Nothobranchius furzeri: one gene and its partners. The protein of the gene in region 3 purifies or fractionates together with the protein of the main gene of each other region. This does not show direct contact. Links are inferred from orthologs where the notes say so. Each region holds a gene or a part of one and is shown on either strand. Other genes may lie near its edges.

Region 1 (4,653 bases), on a different chromosome or scaffold from region 3:
GCAGCCTAAGTCGAGAGGCCCAGACTTCCCTCTCCCCAGCCACTTTGGCCAGCTCTTCTAGGGGAATCCCAAAACGCTGAATTTCTACTTTAATGCGGTGAAGGTACGCTAATTATTTACCATTTGAGCTGATGTTACGCTTAAAGTCCATTCTTTGATACAACACAAATAAAAGCAACAAAGACAAACCTGTATGCAACTATAAAGTCATCTCTGTGGCATGGTGGTATGTGGAGCAGAGTGTGAGAACTGAGTTTGAACCCAAAATAGTTGTTAGGTGACAGGGGTCCATGCGTGGGTGAGTGGGGTGGGGTGGGGGTCCATGTGCTTGTCATTTTCTTTACTGTGAAAATAATAAACTATGTATCTCGATCCTGAGACTTGGACCAACTGAGACCAACACTTGAATGAATGAATTCCTTTAAAGCACTTAAGGGTGACCCATCGACATATATAAGGGTGAACACTGGTCATTGAATGGGGTGGGGTGTGTATGTGTGTGTGTGTGTGTGTGTGGGGGGGGGGGGGGGGTCTGCAGAGGACAAAGTGCTTGTGACGAATTTCCTTTCCTTGTATAATTAGTAACCATCTGTTTAAACAAAAACATATGATTAAAGTGACAACTGAGACTTTCAAGACAACGCTGCAGAATGCTTTTGGTGGATGTGGAAACTCGTCTGTTTGATACTTTGTGTTTAGGACAACAAATAGTTTTCATGAGAGACAAGATAATAAGGTCAAGTGTCCTTGAGAGGACAACAGTCATTTTTTTGGCATTCTTTGACCATAAGTGTCCTGAGAAACAAAACAATCATCTGCCTGCAAATTCTTTATGACCAAATATGAACCTTACAGTTGTCATAAAATAGTTAGAGCTGTTAGGACAATTAGCTTAGCCTTCATGGTTCTTAATTTAGGATTCTGCGATGGTCTCTGGGGCAAGGAAATTGTGGTGGTCAAACATTATGAGCCCATAAAAGCATCTGGGTCTTTGCTTTGAGTGATGTCAAGAATGTGACCAAATCAGTTGGGTATTTAAGGCAGAAGAGGGCAAGGTTGATAAACAAAGACTGCAGAGGGAGGAGGAAAAAAGGACCAAAATGCACGACACTCCGGAAAAATGTATTGCATGTGCAGGGCACGGTCAGGGAGAGCGTGAGAATATTGGTTCATACATTATGGAAGTTGGCCTAATTTGGGAAGATTAGCTTAAAGCATTGCTGGAATTTTTGACTTTGGGAATGATGATGGGTTTGCCAGAGCAGGAGATGTGACTCGTTCCCGAAATGCCAGCGATACTAGCGTGAGCCTAGTTAATAAATGTTGCCTCTGATGAGATTTTTCACATATTTTACCCAACAAGTCCAATGTACAGTTACATTGACTGCCATATTTTCTTTTTTACTGCAACAATATTGGTCTTTTCTATGATGTAATATACTTTCATATGACTGTTGTCATGGTACCGGGCATCTTTTAAAGGCCAACGCCCTACACAAACACCTGCTGCTAATTGAGCAAATACCCTCTTCATTTCAGGGTAAAGACTCATTCAAAAACACCACCAACCAATCGTTACAGAGCAATGAATAGAAAATCTGTGAATCAGACCACAGGAAAATGAAACCAACACCTTAAAGAACATCTTATCCCCTGCAACAACCTCTTAAGACAAGTTATTGCTATTCTGCTGTTGTTATTTGTCAATTAGTAAAGTAATTCATATAAAATGTATTTGCATTTAAGATATGTTTCAATGATAAGACTCATGGAAAGGATTCACGTATGTTTTCATACTCTGAAGAAGCTGTAAAGTTTGAAAAAAGTGACACTTCAAACACTGACCAACACACACAAGTTTAAAACCTGTTGAAGTTTAAAGAGTGAAATATCTCATCCACTGCATCAAGTCAGTTTCAGCTGTGTGTTGGTAATTGAGAGAAATGTTCAAACACCATATTAATAGGGTAGAAAGTATGCACAATAGAAGTCATGCAAAGTCAAGCTACCCACCTCATCATCATCATCAACATCCTGTCATTTGTGTATGAGATAAAATAAAAATCTGTATTTATGATACTTTAAGGTAAAATAAAATATGTAGACAACCATTTGTTACATGAAATTACATACTTCTAAAGAGGAAGAGGACTTCCGAGCATGGCGAGACTCTTCGGATGACGACTGGTCTGCTGCAAGACGAGCTCTTCGTCCAGACTTGGCAATCTGAGAAATGTGAGGGATTTTTGAAAATTAATTTTCTTTGTTGAAAAGCATCTTGCTGAATACATTTATATGCAGAATATCTGCTTTAAATGCTAAAATACTTTGATTCCATAAATATAGATCCATCCGTTTTAACATTTCTCATTTTAAATAGTTTTCATTATTATTTGATGTTCAAATAGCTTACTCAGTTTACTAATAGGAGACGTGAATATGTAGATTTTCAAAATAAAAGACAGAAAGGTGGTTCACAATTTTTTACTTCTTTCTTACAGCACTGGTAGTTACTCAGTTCTTACTCTCTACGAGAGACCAACCGCCTTCGTAATTCTGAAATGCACCTTCTTTTGTCTGAGAAAGACGCAAAGTAGGAGAAAAAAAAAGAGAAAACCAAAACAAAAGCTCTGCCTACAAGAAACTCAGTAGCACGCTAGCACGGCTAACCACAAAGCTAGCGTTAGCTTGACACTGGCAAACAAATAATCACTAATCTTGCTCACAACCGGTAAAACCATAACATATGTTTGACGGTGGTTTATTTGTTAAACATTTAGCTTATCAAATGGCAAGGCACGTATTTGGTTTACGGTGTTAGCTAAAAAGCTGACGCTAGCCTCGGTGAAACATTACACAACGGCTCGAGCTTCTCTAACAGCACTAAATACTAATTATGTTATCACTAATAAATATCTTAACTGAAACAAGACGTACATGTTTTGTAGCTGTCCCATCTTCGGCGTGAAAGCTATCGTCTATCTCTCTCCTCATTGCTACAGCTCTGTTGTAGCTTCTTCCTGAGTCACAACCGTTACATAGCAACGTTCACCATAGCAACGCCAATCAGCAGGAGCGAACGTGTCTTGCGTAATTAAATTTAATAAAATCTCAATAAAACAGGTTCGATTTATTTATAACACAAAGATTTAATGTCTAATTAAATAGTAATAGCATTGTTGATGAATTGATATTAATGGTTACATTTATATTTTTATGTAATAAAATAAAAGACAAACTCTAGTCCAATAGGTATCAGCGAAAATTTATGTCCAACATTTAAACATCGCTCGCTTAAATGTCCCGTTAATTAAATGTGTTTTTATTTAGAACCAGAATTAAATGTGTTGTTACTCTTTCTATCCACCAGATGTCAGTGTTGCGCATGTTTTCATTTGCTGACACCGCTCGGTAGCAGCCATCATGCGGTAGTTCAGAGCAGCTGAATGTTTAATCAAAATACCTCCTTTTAATTTCATTCCACCATCTGTGATTTGCATATAATTTACGTCCATGATTTCATCAGAAACTTTGATAAAGCAGAAAAATTGTGCAGCCTACTTAATAGCCATTTTGTGCCTACAATAAAACATCTAATTGATTAATTAGCCCCAGAAAGCTTACTTTTCTGTTTAGTTCATTATTTTTGTTTAAAAATAGATACTACATAACCATTAAACAAAAATACACTCACGCATGGGATGGGGTTTGATTGCGGAAACCATAATTTAACTCAAAAACAGACTTGAAAGAAGGATTTAGAAACACATGTTATGATAGGAGCTATAGTTCATTGTTTGAACAAGGTTTAGAAATTGCTGCCCCTCCTTCAGAAACGTCACAGCCAGCAGGATATAAAGTATGAGTGAGAGTGCAGAGCCTGAGTGTGTTTGAGGTTGGACTACGGGGAGATAACAGAGGCGCTGGCTCCACTAACACCAGTGGATGAAAAGAGCTGAGTGGAATGGAGGGACTGAACCAAGGCGCACAGACCGGCCCCGTTTGAAATATATCACAAGGGAAGAGATGCTTGAATGAGACCAGGGGTGATGCGGAGGGTAATTAGGAGTTTTGGTGAAGAGTTATGGTTATTTTCCAAAATGGCACGGATTTGCGCTCATCCAGATGCGCACTTTGCAACGATGACATAGCACTTGAGAAAATGGGATTCCTCCAGGAACAGAACTCACTCACGAGCTGAATGACATTATAAAAGGGATTCAAATCGGATTTTTGTTTTTCGCTTAATTATTATTTTTATTTTACTTGATACGCGTCGGTTGTGTGTGAACTCAGAGTGAAATATGAATCTGGGCAAAGCACTTCTGTTTTTTCTCCTCTCGAGTTGTGTGACAATGACTTTCTCGCTCTCCACTTGCACCACTGTGGACATCGACCACATAAAGAAAAAGAGAGTGGAGGCGGTCCGGGGACAGATTCTGAGTAAACTCCGGATGACCAGTCCGCCTCAGGCAACAGGTCCGAGCCAGGTCCCGTTTCAGGTTCTGGCCCTCTACAACAGCACCAAGGAGCTCATTGAGGAGCTGGGAAGAGACCGGCAGCAGAGTTGCGGACAGGAAAACACTGAGACCGAGTACTACGCCAAAGAGATTTACAAGTTCAACATGATCAATGGTCTACCAGAAAACAGTG
Region 2 (4,721 bases), on a different chromosome or scaffold from region 3:
AGAAATGTGTTTTAGAAAACGGCTGTTTTCTTTAAAGGTGAAAATCTTGGTTTAGATATAAACGTGTTATCGTCAGGGACACGTGCTACATCACCACCAGCCAGGTGAATTGACGTAAATGACAAGTGGGAAGAAAGAAATCACTGAAAAAGTATTAAAACTCTGTCAATGTACCAGAATCACACTGTCAAATTAACTACAAGCAATGCTATTCTCTGTGAAAGGCACTTAGTAGGGCTATTGTAAGTCGAATTCTAATATAAATATCAGAATTATGGGGTTTGATGTGATCAAGTTTACGCATATACCTTCAGCAAGCATCTCTGCACAAGTTTTGCCAACCGCTTCGGTTCTGGCACAGTGCGACAGCCAACAAAAACAACATAAAACAAAACCTAAACGAGTGCCCTTGTATTTAAAAACATAAAAGAAATCGACGGACCTGTAAAGGAGAACACTGCGAACCGAGTCGAAGTCTTCCAAGTTCTTTGAAAATGAATTTCCATCAATAGAAAGATTAAACATCATTTGTGTCTCATGTCATCGCTGGCAGATATAGGTAACTGAGCAGTTGTAAATTAGGGTTTGAAAGCATCCAAGACCAAAGAGAATCTATCTCCTTCAGAAATGAACTTAGAAACTATTTGAATCGCTCCATGGAGTGTGAGCTGCCTTTCAGAGCCTCCCCCCAATTTCCCACGTCAATCTGTGAACCTTCTACACAGGGGCGGTTCTAGAGTGGGTGTAAAGTGGGCCAGAACCATCCTGACAACAAGCTTTGAGCCCCCTCTGTCCCTTTACCCACCCACCCACCCTGAGGGCAAAGCCTGAACAATAGTAAGTACAGATTTTTTGCGATAATTTTGCCTAATGCAAGATGTGGAACCAGCACATGTAAATGCTTTTTATCTGAAGCTGAAAAGATATTCCGAAACAAACACTTTCATGTTGTCACTGAGACAGAAAATTAAGATAAACACATGTTTTTGTCTTTGCAAAATAGTTAAATTTGAAGCCTCTAACAAATTTGCTTTTATTATATTGTCATGATTACACACAAAGAATTGAAACACTTATGGGCAATTACTTTCTTAAAAATGTGCCTCTCTAATTGAGCAGCTTACCCCTCACCTATTTTAGTCTTGAACAGTGGTACTCAATAGACGGCCCCTCTCAGGCCCCCAGACTACCAGTGTGGGCAGCAAGCAGGGAGGGTTAAGTGTCTTGCCCAAGGACAGTCCTCATGCTCATGGAAACCTGGGGCAGAGGAGCAGATGTCGAGTCTTTAGCACACCCAGGCAAAAAGAGTTGTGCAAAACTGCCATCTTATGGATTAATGATGGAAATACAATATTAAAACTCAGACGTCAAAATCTGTGAAATTTTCCATGCATCCTTAGATTTCTGACTGAAAACATTGACTCACAACATATTAGCATTTGTTTAAAAAACAATTTTTTGTAAATTTCATTAAATAAGGCAAATTTATACTTTACTATATCTTTCATTAAAATTAACCTGCTGTCACAAATTAGTGACACAGGTTTGGAATTATTCTATTACATTTTAATTAGCATCCTCGGTGCTTTCATTTTGAAATACGAACTCTGTATCTGCTGCCTCGTCTGCCTCTCAGAGGCCCCTCATTGGCTACCCCCCGTTGCCATGACATCTCCGCAGAAGACGCTTCAGAGTGAAGCATTGTGGGAAACAAACATCCCTAACGTCGAAAATGTTTTGAAAAGACGAAGGAGGTTTAGGTTGTGAGCTTTTAAAAGCCACTAAAATGAAGGTTGGTACAAAGGAGAACTTTAATACACACGTTTCTTTTGTTTTTGTGATTTCCAGGGTTGAATTGCCCTACACGAAACGGATTTAGCGAGTTTTTGGTATGCAGCTTCAAGCTAGCTCAGGCTACATTGGTTTTGTCGATAATTCCCAGTTGTTAGTTGTTGAGCTGACCAGAGAGAACATAACTGTATTTATAGGTGAATTATGATAGTACTTTAATGTTAGAGGCTAATGATAGCATTAGTTAGCTTATCGTGTCCGTTAAATGTGGCAGCATGGAAGCTTGATATGAACAATTTAGTTTTTTTTTTGTGTGATTTCTTTATATTTTGAACTGAAATTAAACAATAAATAGGGCAGAAAATTAGATAGAAAAGTACATTTAAAGAGAATGACGTGATATTATTTTTAAAGTGCGGATAAAGAAAGATAATCTCACTTTGTGGGTTTGATTAGTTATTTTCTTTATATTAAAGGCTGATTTAGAATCGATTTTTCTTCTATTTATCATAAGAATAGGGTTAAACAGCCAGAGCCCTACCTCATGCCCTTGAATTTATGACTGTTGTTTTTAGTTATCTGTATTCGTTTTTTACAATCTGTTTGTTTTTAATTATCTCATTCTTGGAAAACAAACTTTGATTTGTGTATTTATTTATGCACAGTTCAGTTCAAGGCCATGATTATTTTCCTTGTCAGGTTTAGATTTCCTGGTGTTTGTGTGAACATGATCCCGTTGCACGAATCAGTTTTGGCCAGGCTTTATTTATTAAATTTGTGACTTTGGTGTATGATTCACTCATGCAGCTGCAACACTAGAATGACTGTTTTCCCCTATAATGCCTTTAAACTTAGATTTAGTCACTTTTTGCTTCCAGAGTGTTTTCGTTCTTTCGGAAAAGGCTTGGGCAGGCTCTACTGTTCTTTACAAATGGCAGAAAAGCCTTGGAAACTACATTGCTGTTGCCGGGTGAGTAAACTGTTTCTTCTCTTAGTTCAAGATCATCATCAAAAGGGTGTTCATACATTTCAGTTGTTTCAAATCACACAGGCAGGATAACTCAGTGAAAATATTTGATCGACATGGACAGAAGTGGACTGAACTCAACCTCCCAGGGTGAGTGTAAGACGACTTGTAGGGGTTCACTTTGACCGCGTCAGCTGCTTCATATCTTTTGTCTCTCCTCACCTTTAGTCGCTGTGTGGGGATGGACTGGGACAAGGATGGCGACATTCTTGCAGTGATCGCTGCAAAATCCAGCTTAATCTACCTCTGGGATGCCAGTGTCAGTAAAATGTCACAAATAGACAGCGGGATGAGGTACAGCAGCCATGATGCAGAAAGTGAGGTAGGGAGAAAGTGTTACTCAGTTTTTAATAATCAGGATGTATTCTTCTTTTGCTGTTTTTGGTTTAAGCAAAGATCAGATGACCTTCATCCTGTGGTCTAAAGCTGGCCCTCTGTTAGCTGTTGGGACAGCAAAAGGAAACCTGCTGATCTACAACCAACAGACCTCACGCAAGATCCCCATACTGGGTAATAAACACACCGCAAACATTTATTTAATTATTTATTCATATTTACTTAATTTATAATGATCATTTGTCTTTACATTGCTACCGCAGGTAAACACACCAAGAAAATCACCTGTGGGTGCTGGAGTTCTCAGAATCTGCTGGCTCTGGGAAGTGATGACCACACTCTTAGCATTAGCAACCATGAAGGAGACACAGTCAGACAGGTAGTCACACCAACACTATATATGCGTGTAATTCATAATTTAAACAGACGTCACTACAGAATCACTTCTCCTCCAGCGTAGCTGCTACTTACCGCATGGCCAGGTTTAAAGTGGTTTCTCCATGTTTATTGCTCTTTTTGTCCTGGAAGAAGGTTTTGAAGCTCACTAAACTTACTTTGGTCTCTGTGTGGTTCGATGACGTCAATTTCTGTGAGACGAACATTTAGAGACCTGGATGTATTTTCACACCAAACCTAAAAGGCAAGGCAGCTTTATTTATATAGCACCTTACAACAGCATAAAACTGACCAAAAACAGAACTTTTGCCACCTGGTCTGTTGAAAATAAGCACATTCTTGGCATCAAAATGTGACTTTAAATTCACACATATCACATGTGAAATCCATTGCACAAATGAAACGACATCAGAAAATAACTTTTATCCTCTCATAGACTCCCGTTCTTTTTGTTTTGCTGTTGGGGACTCGTGATCTGGAAGTACATGGGCGTGACTTAGGCTCCCTATAGGCTTGAATCTGATGATACGATTCATATCAGTACAGGGGAGACGACATACTGCGATACCAGAAACAGGGCTGCAACAATGAATCAATAACAATCGATAAAAAATTAATTTGTCGTGAATTTGTTTGTGTCGTGCAACTTTTATGTAACAGTCAATGCACACAGCTCATAGGTGGCAGCAGAACAGACCGAGGCAGATCAGAACGAGAAAGAAAGCCGTTGTTTAGATGAGGAATGACAGGAAGACCTAAGAAAATTTTCTAAAGTTTGGGAGCACTTTAGATTAAACAATGCAAAGACATCTGTCACCTGCAACATATGTAAATCAGACGAGGCATGGCATGGGAGTTCGATGGTGATAATACAGCATCATCGCAAGCATATCTGAGCCATCAGCGAGGAAGGGGAGAGCTCGGTGTCTGGGTAAGTAGTGAGAAACTATGCCCTAGGCCCAGATTAATTAAAGTTGTAAACCAGGGCAGAACATATATTTCGCATGTGCGATGAAAATACACTCTGTGAGATAAACTATTTTTAGATGTACCCCACAAAAGAAATACAGTAACAGTTTGAATGTAAATTCTGAATAAAAATCGATATTCTGCTGTAGAAATATCAGTTCAGTATCATAACATGGAATATCACAATGTTTCAACGAATCAT
Region 3 (4,155 bases):
CACAAACAAAAAGACGAGGTTCACTCTGGTCCCAGAAATGAGACACAGGACGGCGACCGCTACACTCTGTCTCCTGAAACTTCTGCCTGAGAAACAGAGAAGACGTACAGATCAATGTGTGGGGTCACAGCTATTACAGTCCACATGGTCAAAAGGAGAACACCTTACTTTTCACTTTCTTCTGACTGTAAGACGCCACTAGATGGCCTTCCAGTGAAGAAGTCAAAGTGTGTCACGGTGTCCATCTCAACGTCATAAAAGTACACTTTGTGATCAGGTCGTCCATTTACCTGAGAAGAAAGACTCCACTTAAAACCACTTCATGATGGTGTGAAAGCATAAAATATCAGAGTAAAGCATGTTTGTCCGTTTACCTTAGAGATTAGTATGCTAACTTGGCTGCCATTGGCGTTGCAATTGACAGACCTCAGAGCTCCCAGATTGGAAATCTGGTCTGCCAGGTTCTTAGCGCTACAGGAAGCTTTGGCATCTCTACAAAAACAAAAAAACTAAAATCTCAATTGAATTCACAAATTCAGCTGATAAGAGTATTTATAAAGGAGCCACATGGACTCCATACCTTCTAGAAAGGTCAAAAACTCTGATGTGCGCCGTGTCTGTGCCCACCACCAGGTAGGACTGGCACACACTGAGGAGCACAGGGTTTCCCTCTGTCTTGGAGAACGTTAAGAGTTGTTTCACTGTGCCCTGATAGTGCAGAAAGTGAACACAAACATCTGACATGCTCTGAAAATTACCCAAAAATTATTTAGTAGTGGGTCAAGCCAACAGACCTGCGGTGTACGGATTTGAACCCTGTTTGGTTCTACAGTGTAGAGGTTCTCACCATGCATGGCTACCACTTGGGAATCACAAGAAAATGATCCTGAGAGATCAAGAAAGGAGAGAAAAGGAAAAAAGAAATTAGGTGTGGTGAAAATATAAAATGTAGTTCATTTTACCAGTTTGTGTTTGTAACATGTACCTGTGCTGCGTAAAGTTGTTCCTGAGAGCTCATAAACTGTGACTACTTTACCGTTCCAGACTGTCACCGAGTCCTGATGGAACAGAAAAAGACAAAAGGTTTTGAGACGTATTTCTGAGAAACGCTTTGTGAAAGCTTCACCTTCCCTCCTACCTTGCTAACACACACTCCTTTGATGTGCATATCAGACATGAGAGCAAGCTGCGCTCCAGTGGAGAACTGAGTGATGATGACCTGTGTTGGGGTGAGCTGCACTGCTGACACCTGCTGGCTGAAGTGGGCGGACATCACGTGCTCACTTAGAATCAGCACCGTCTTTGAATTATTGGCTGCCAAAAGGTTCTGGCAGGAGCCCCACTGAAATTGAAGTTCAGTTCAATGTTCTGAAAACAGTAGCACGCCTATCATGATGGAATGCTGGTCTAGATGGTACCTGTAGCTGAAGGACATTTCCTTCTATTTCTGTGGGTGCTTGTAATTTCCACAGGATCTTTGTTTCTCTGCTGCTGCTGTTTGGCTGCACCACCATCTTCCATATTGCTATGTGCCCATGGGAGGTACCAGCTGCCAGGATTTCTACAGACAAATAAAAAAATGACTTTCCCAAATCTTCTCAGATTGGAGTGAATAAAAATGTAAAAGCCTGCATTCCTTAAAGAAACACATCATGACAGAGTTTGGAACTAAGATCTGGTTTAGTCTAGAAATTATGGAGTTCTAGACAACACACAAAGCATCTGATGGGGTTACCCTCAGCTGCAACCACATTTGTTTGCAGCTCTAAACTGACAGAGTGAGAGTCGTGTTTTTGTTTGTCAAAGTCAACTGGTTGTGGCGGCCATCTTAATTGGATTGACTTTGAAAGTAAACCAGTTGTACATCCAATGATTATTTTCAGAAAGTTTCATTCAAATCCCCTGGTGGCTGGTGAGATCTCCGGGAATCAGACGGTGTAGGCTCTAACTGTTAATGGCCGTGTTCGAGATGAGCCAGTTCTGCGCAGATTAGATTTGTGTCCGACTTGACGCCGACTTGCTCTGCCGTCATGCATACGTAGACAACGATAACCTTGTTAGATCAAGGCGGCTGCAGATTTTGGAGCAAGGCGCTGCAGTTGCTCTCCATCGGCTGCAAAACCTAGGGCATGATGGGAAACGCCTGGCTCAAACCTGATCTAAGATCTGATTGGTTCATATTTTGATCCAAACATCCGGTGGTAGAACATGAAATGTTAGTTGGTCACATGTATTCTGTAAATCATGTAACGTCGATGATGACAACTATATAGGCCATAAAGACAAATGTGTTTTGTGTTATTTGTCACGTTTCATATGAGCACACTAAAGCTGCAGCTGATAACCATTACTTATTATTACCCCGGCTTTCCACAGCAGCCGTCAGCAGCACGTTACTGCAGCAGCACGTCATAGCTGCTGATAGGAACGGCTGTGGTCAACAGAACCTTTTCAACTGGAGCCGTCAGCAGCGCGAGTCGGCCGCGTCTCAGGAGCAGCATGTCGCGGCCTTTACGCGCCGGTTCTATTTCCTACGCGCGACGCCTCTGAAACGGGTCAAGTTCGACATTTTTGGGGAAGGAAAGACAGGAAATCGGACGCGGAAATGGAGAGAAGCTCCCGATATTTTCAGAATAAAGAACGTACTGCCTTCCGGTCGTTTTACTTTAAAAAACGTTACTAACTGTGCGGCCCCGTGAGAAGTTATCACCTAGCTAGCGGTCTCCTTTGTTTTTCAGGTCCGTATTGGCGATTATAAAACGGACAGAACATAAAAACACAAACATTTTGGAGCCATGTTGTAGTTTTCTCCTGCTTGTTGTTGTGTTTACTGACGAAGTCACTCGTGTGACTTCGTGCTCGGTCGGTGACAGCTGCTCCCCTGCTGATTCGCGTCTCGTGGGAAGGGCCAAGCAGCAGCTTACGCGAGCAAGACGTGCTGCTGCAGTAACGTGCTGCTGACGACTCCGGTGGAAACCCGGGGTTAGTCAGGTCTCCATATACAATATATGACATCCACAAACACGTGAGGATGTGTTTCAGCTGCTAACAGGTACCAGAATTAAAATAAATAATTAAACAAGTATGAACTCTAACGCAATATCTTCATCCATCGTCACCCCCGAGCTACACATGTAGGGAAATCTGTCCGACTTAAATGCCGGCTTTCAGCCACTCCCCCTGCTCTCGTCTGCTTTCCAGGCGAGGCGCAGCTCAACTCGAACACGGCCAATGACACAGTTTGACTTAAGGGAAAGTTGAATTGGGGTTCTGTGGTAAGGATATGATCAGTCCACATTGTAGACAGCTCTTTGAAGGGCCTCGATTTGGCAAAAACGAGCTTAGTCCTGGTTGTACCGGAGGACAGAGGACAGGAGAACGCGCAGCTAATTAATTAAACAATTTGGTTCTGTACCTTTCTCTTCAGCACAGCCGACAAAGGTTTAAGATGGGTCAGTCCTCCTGCATGCTCTTGAAAAATTGTTCCAAAATGAAAGTTGAACCCACATCTTTTTTATCTGTGAATGCAATGCCGTTCGGCGAGTCTCAAATAAAAATTTGGGCTTCTTACTGTAAAAAAAATATACCATTAATGTAAAAAAGAAACTCTAAATAAACTATGTTCACATCCAGAATCAAACCCAGGTCTTCTGCACGAGAGTCCGACGTCTTACTAGGCGAGCTAACGCGCCAGTGACGTCACTTGTATCTGTACCATTTAAGAACGATTCGGAGGGCTATGTCTGAGCGTGAACGCGCATTAAGCAGCCTGCTTGACCCGAGCAGCTCTCTTTTTCTGTGATTTTACAGAAAAATAGGCAATCACAGAAATAAATTCTTTCTTACCAGTGGTAAATTAAGTGCAGCACATTATCAATTAAAAACAATTACAATTGGGTAAAATGTGTAAATGAACAGAGTTCTTAAATAAACGAAAAGATGTAATAACAACAGAGAGCTTATTCCAGTCCAATGGAGCTTTAACTCTAAAAGCAAGTCTCCCAACTTCCTTCTTAACTGGAGGAACAACAAAAGAGATACTATATGGACATTCAAAGGGCACTAAATACATTTTTAAATACTCAGGAAAATTTAAAAAATATAAATTTGAAGATAAACAATAACCAATGAAAGCTCCGTCTTTCCTTTAAAGGA

The links.
Region 1: the proteins of ift140 (region 3) and intraflagellar transport protein 43 homolog purify together in Homo sapiens (affinity purification with mass spectrometry; 3 studies listed by BioGRID and IntAct, counting the BioPlex papers as one, with this or other methods). This does not show direct contact. The link is inferred for Nothobranchius furzeri from reciprocal best matches to the Homo sapiens genes IFT140 and IFT43.
Region 2: the proteins of ift140 (region 3) and wdr19 purify together in Homo sapiens (co-immunoprecipitation; 3 studies listed by BioGRID and IntAct, with this or other methods). This does not show direct contact. The link is inferred for Nothobranchius furzeri from reciprocal best matches to the Homo sapiens genes IFT140 and WDR19.

Annotation. Positions count from the first base shown.
Region 1 is NC_091758.1:32,608,450-32,613,102, reverse strand, and holds the start of intraflagellar transport protein 43 homolog, read right to left. Parts: upstream 3,057-4,653; 5' UTR 2,995-3,056; coding exon 2,938-2,994; intron 2,227-2,937; coding exon 2,134-2,226; intron 1-2,133. Other genes in the region: tgfb3 (transforming growth factor beta-3 proprotein), read left to right, coding at 4,305-4,650. UniProt on the Homo sapiens protein: As a component of IFT complex A (IFT-A), a complex required for retrograde ciliary transport and entry into cilia of G protein-coupled receptors (GPCRs), it is involved in ciliogenesis.
Region 2 is NC_091742.1:74,697,269-74,701,989, reverse strand, and holds the start of wdr19 (WD repeat-containing protein 19), read left to right. Parts: upstream 1-1,665; 5' UTR 1,666-1,786; coding exon 1,787-1,792; intron 1,793-2,669; coding exon 2,670-2,761; intron 2,762-2,842; coding exon 2,843-2,908; intron 2,909-2,986; coding exon 2,987-3,112; intron 3,113-3,209; coding exon 3,210-3,328; intron 3,329-3,417; coding exon 3,418-3,533; intron 3,534-4,721. UniProt on the Homo sapiens protein: As component of the IFT complex A (IFT-A), a complex required for retrograde ciliary transport and entry into cilia of G protein-coupled receptors (GPCRs), it is involved in cilia function and/or assembly.
Region 3 is NC_091756.1:32,351,383-32,355,537, forward strand, and holds part of ift140 (intraflagellar transport protein 140 homolog), read right to left. Parts: intron 1,562-4,155; coding exon 1,419-1,561; intron 1,343-1,418; coding exon 1,139-1,342; intron 1,059-1,138; coding exon 986-1,058; intron 887-985; coding exon 795-886; intron 709-794; coding exon 581-708; intron 493-580; coding exon 375-492; intron 291-374; coding exon 169-290; intron 87-168; coding exon 1-86. UniProt on the Homo sapiens protein: Component of the IFT complex A (IFT-A), a complex required for retrograde ciliary transport and entry into cilia of G protein-coupled receptors (GPCRs).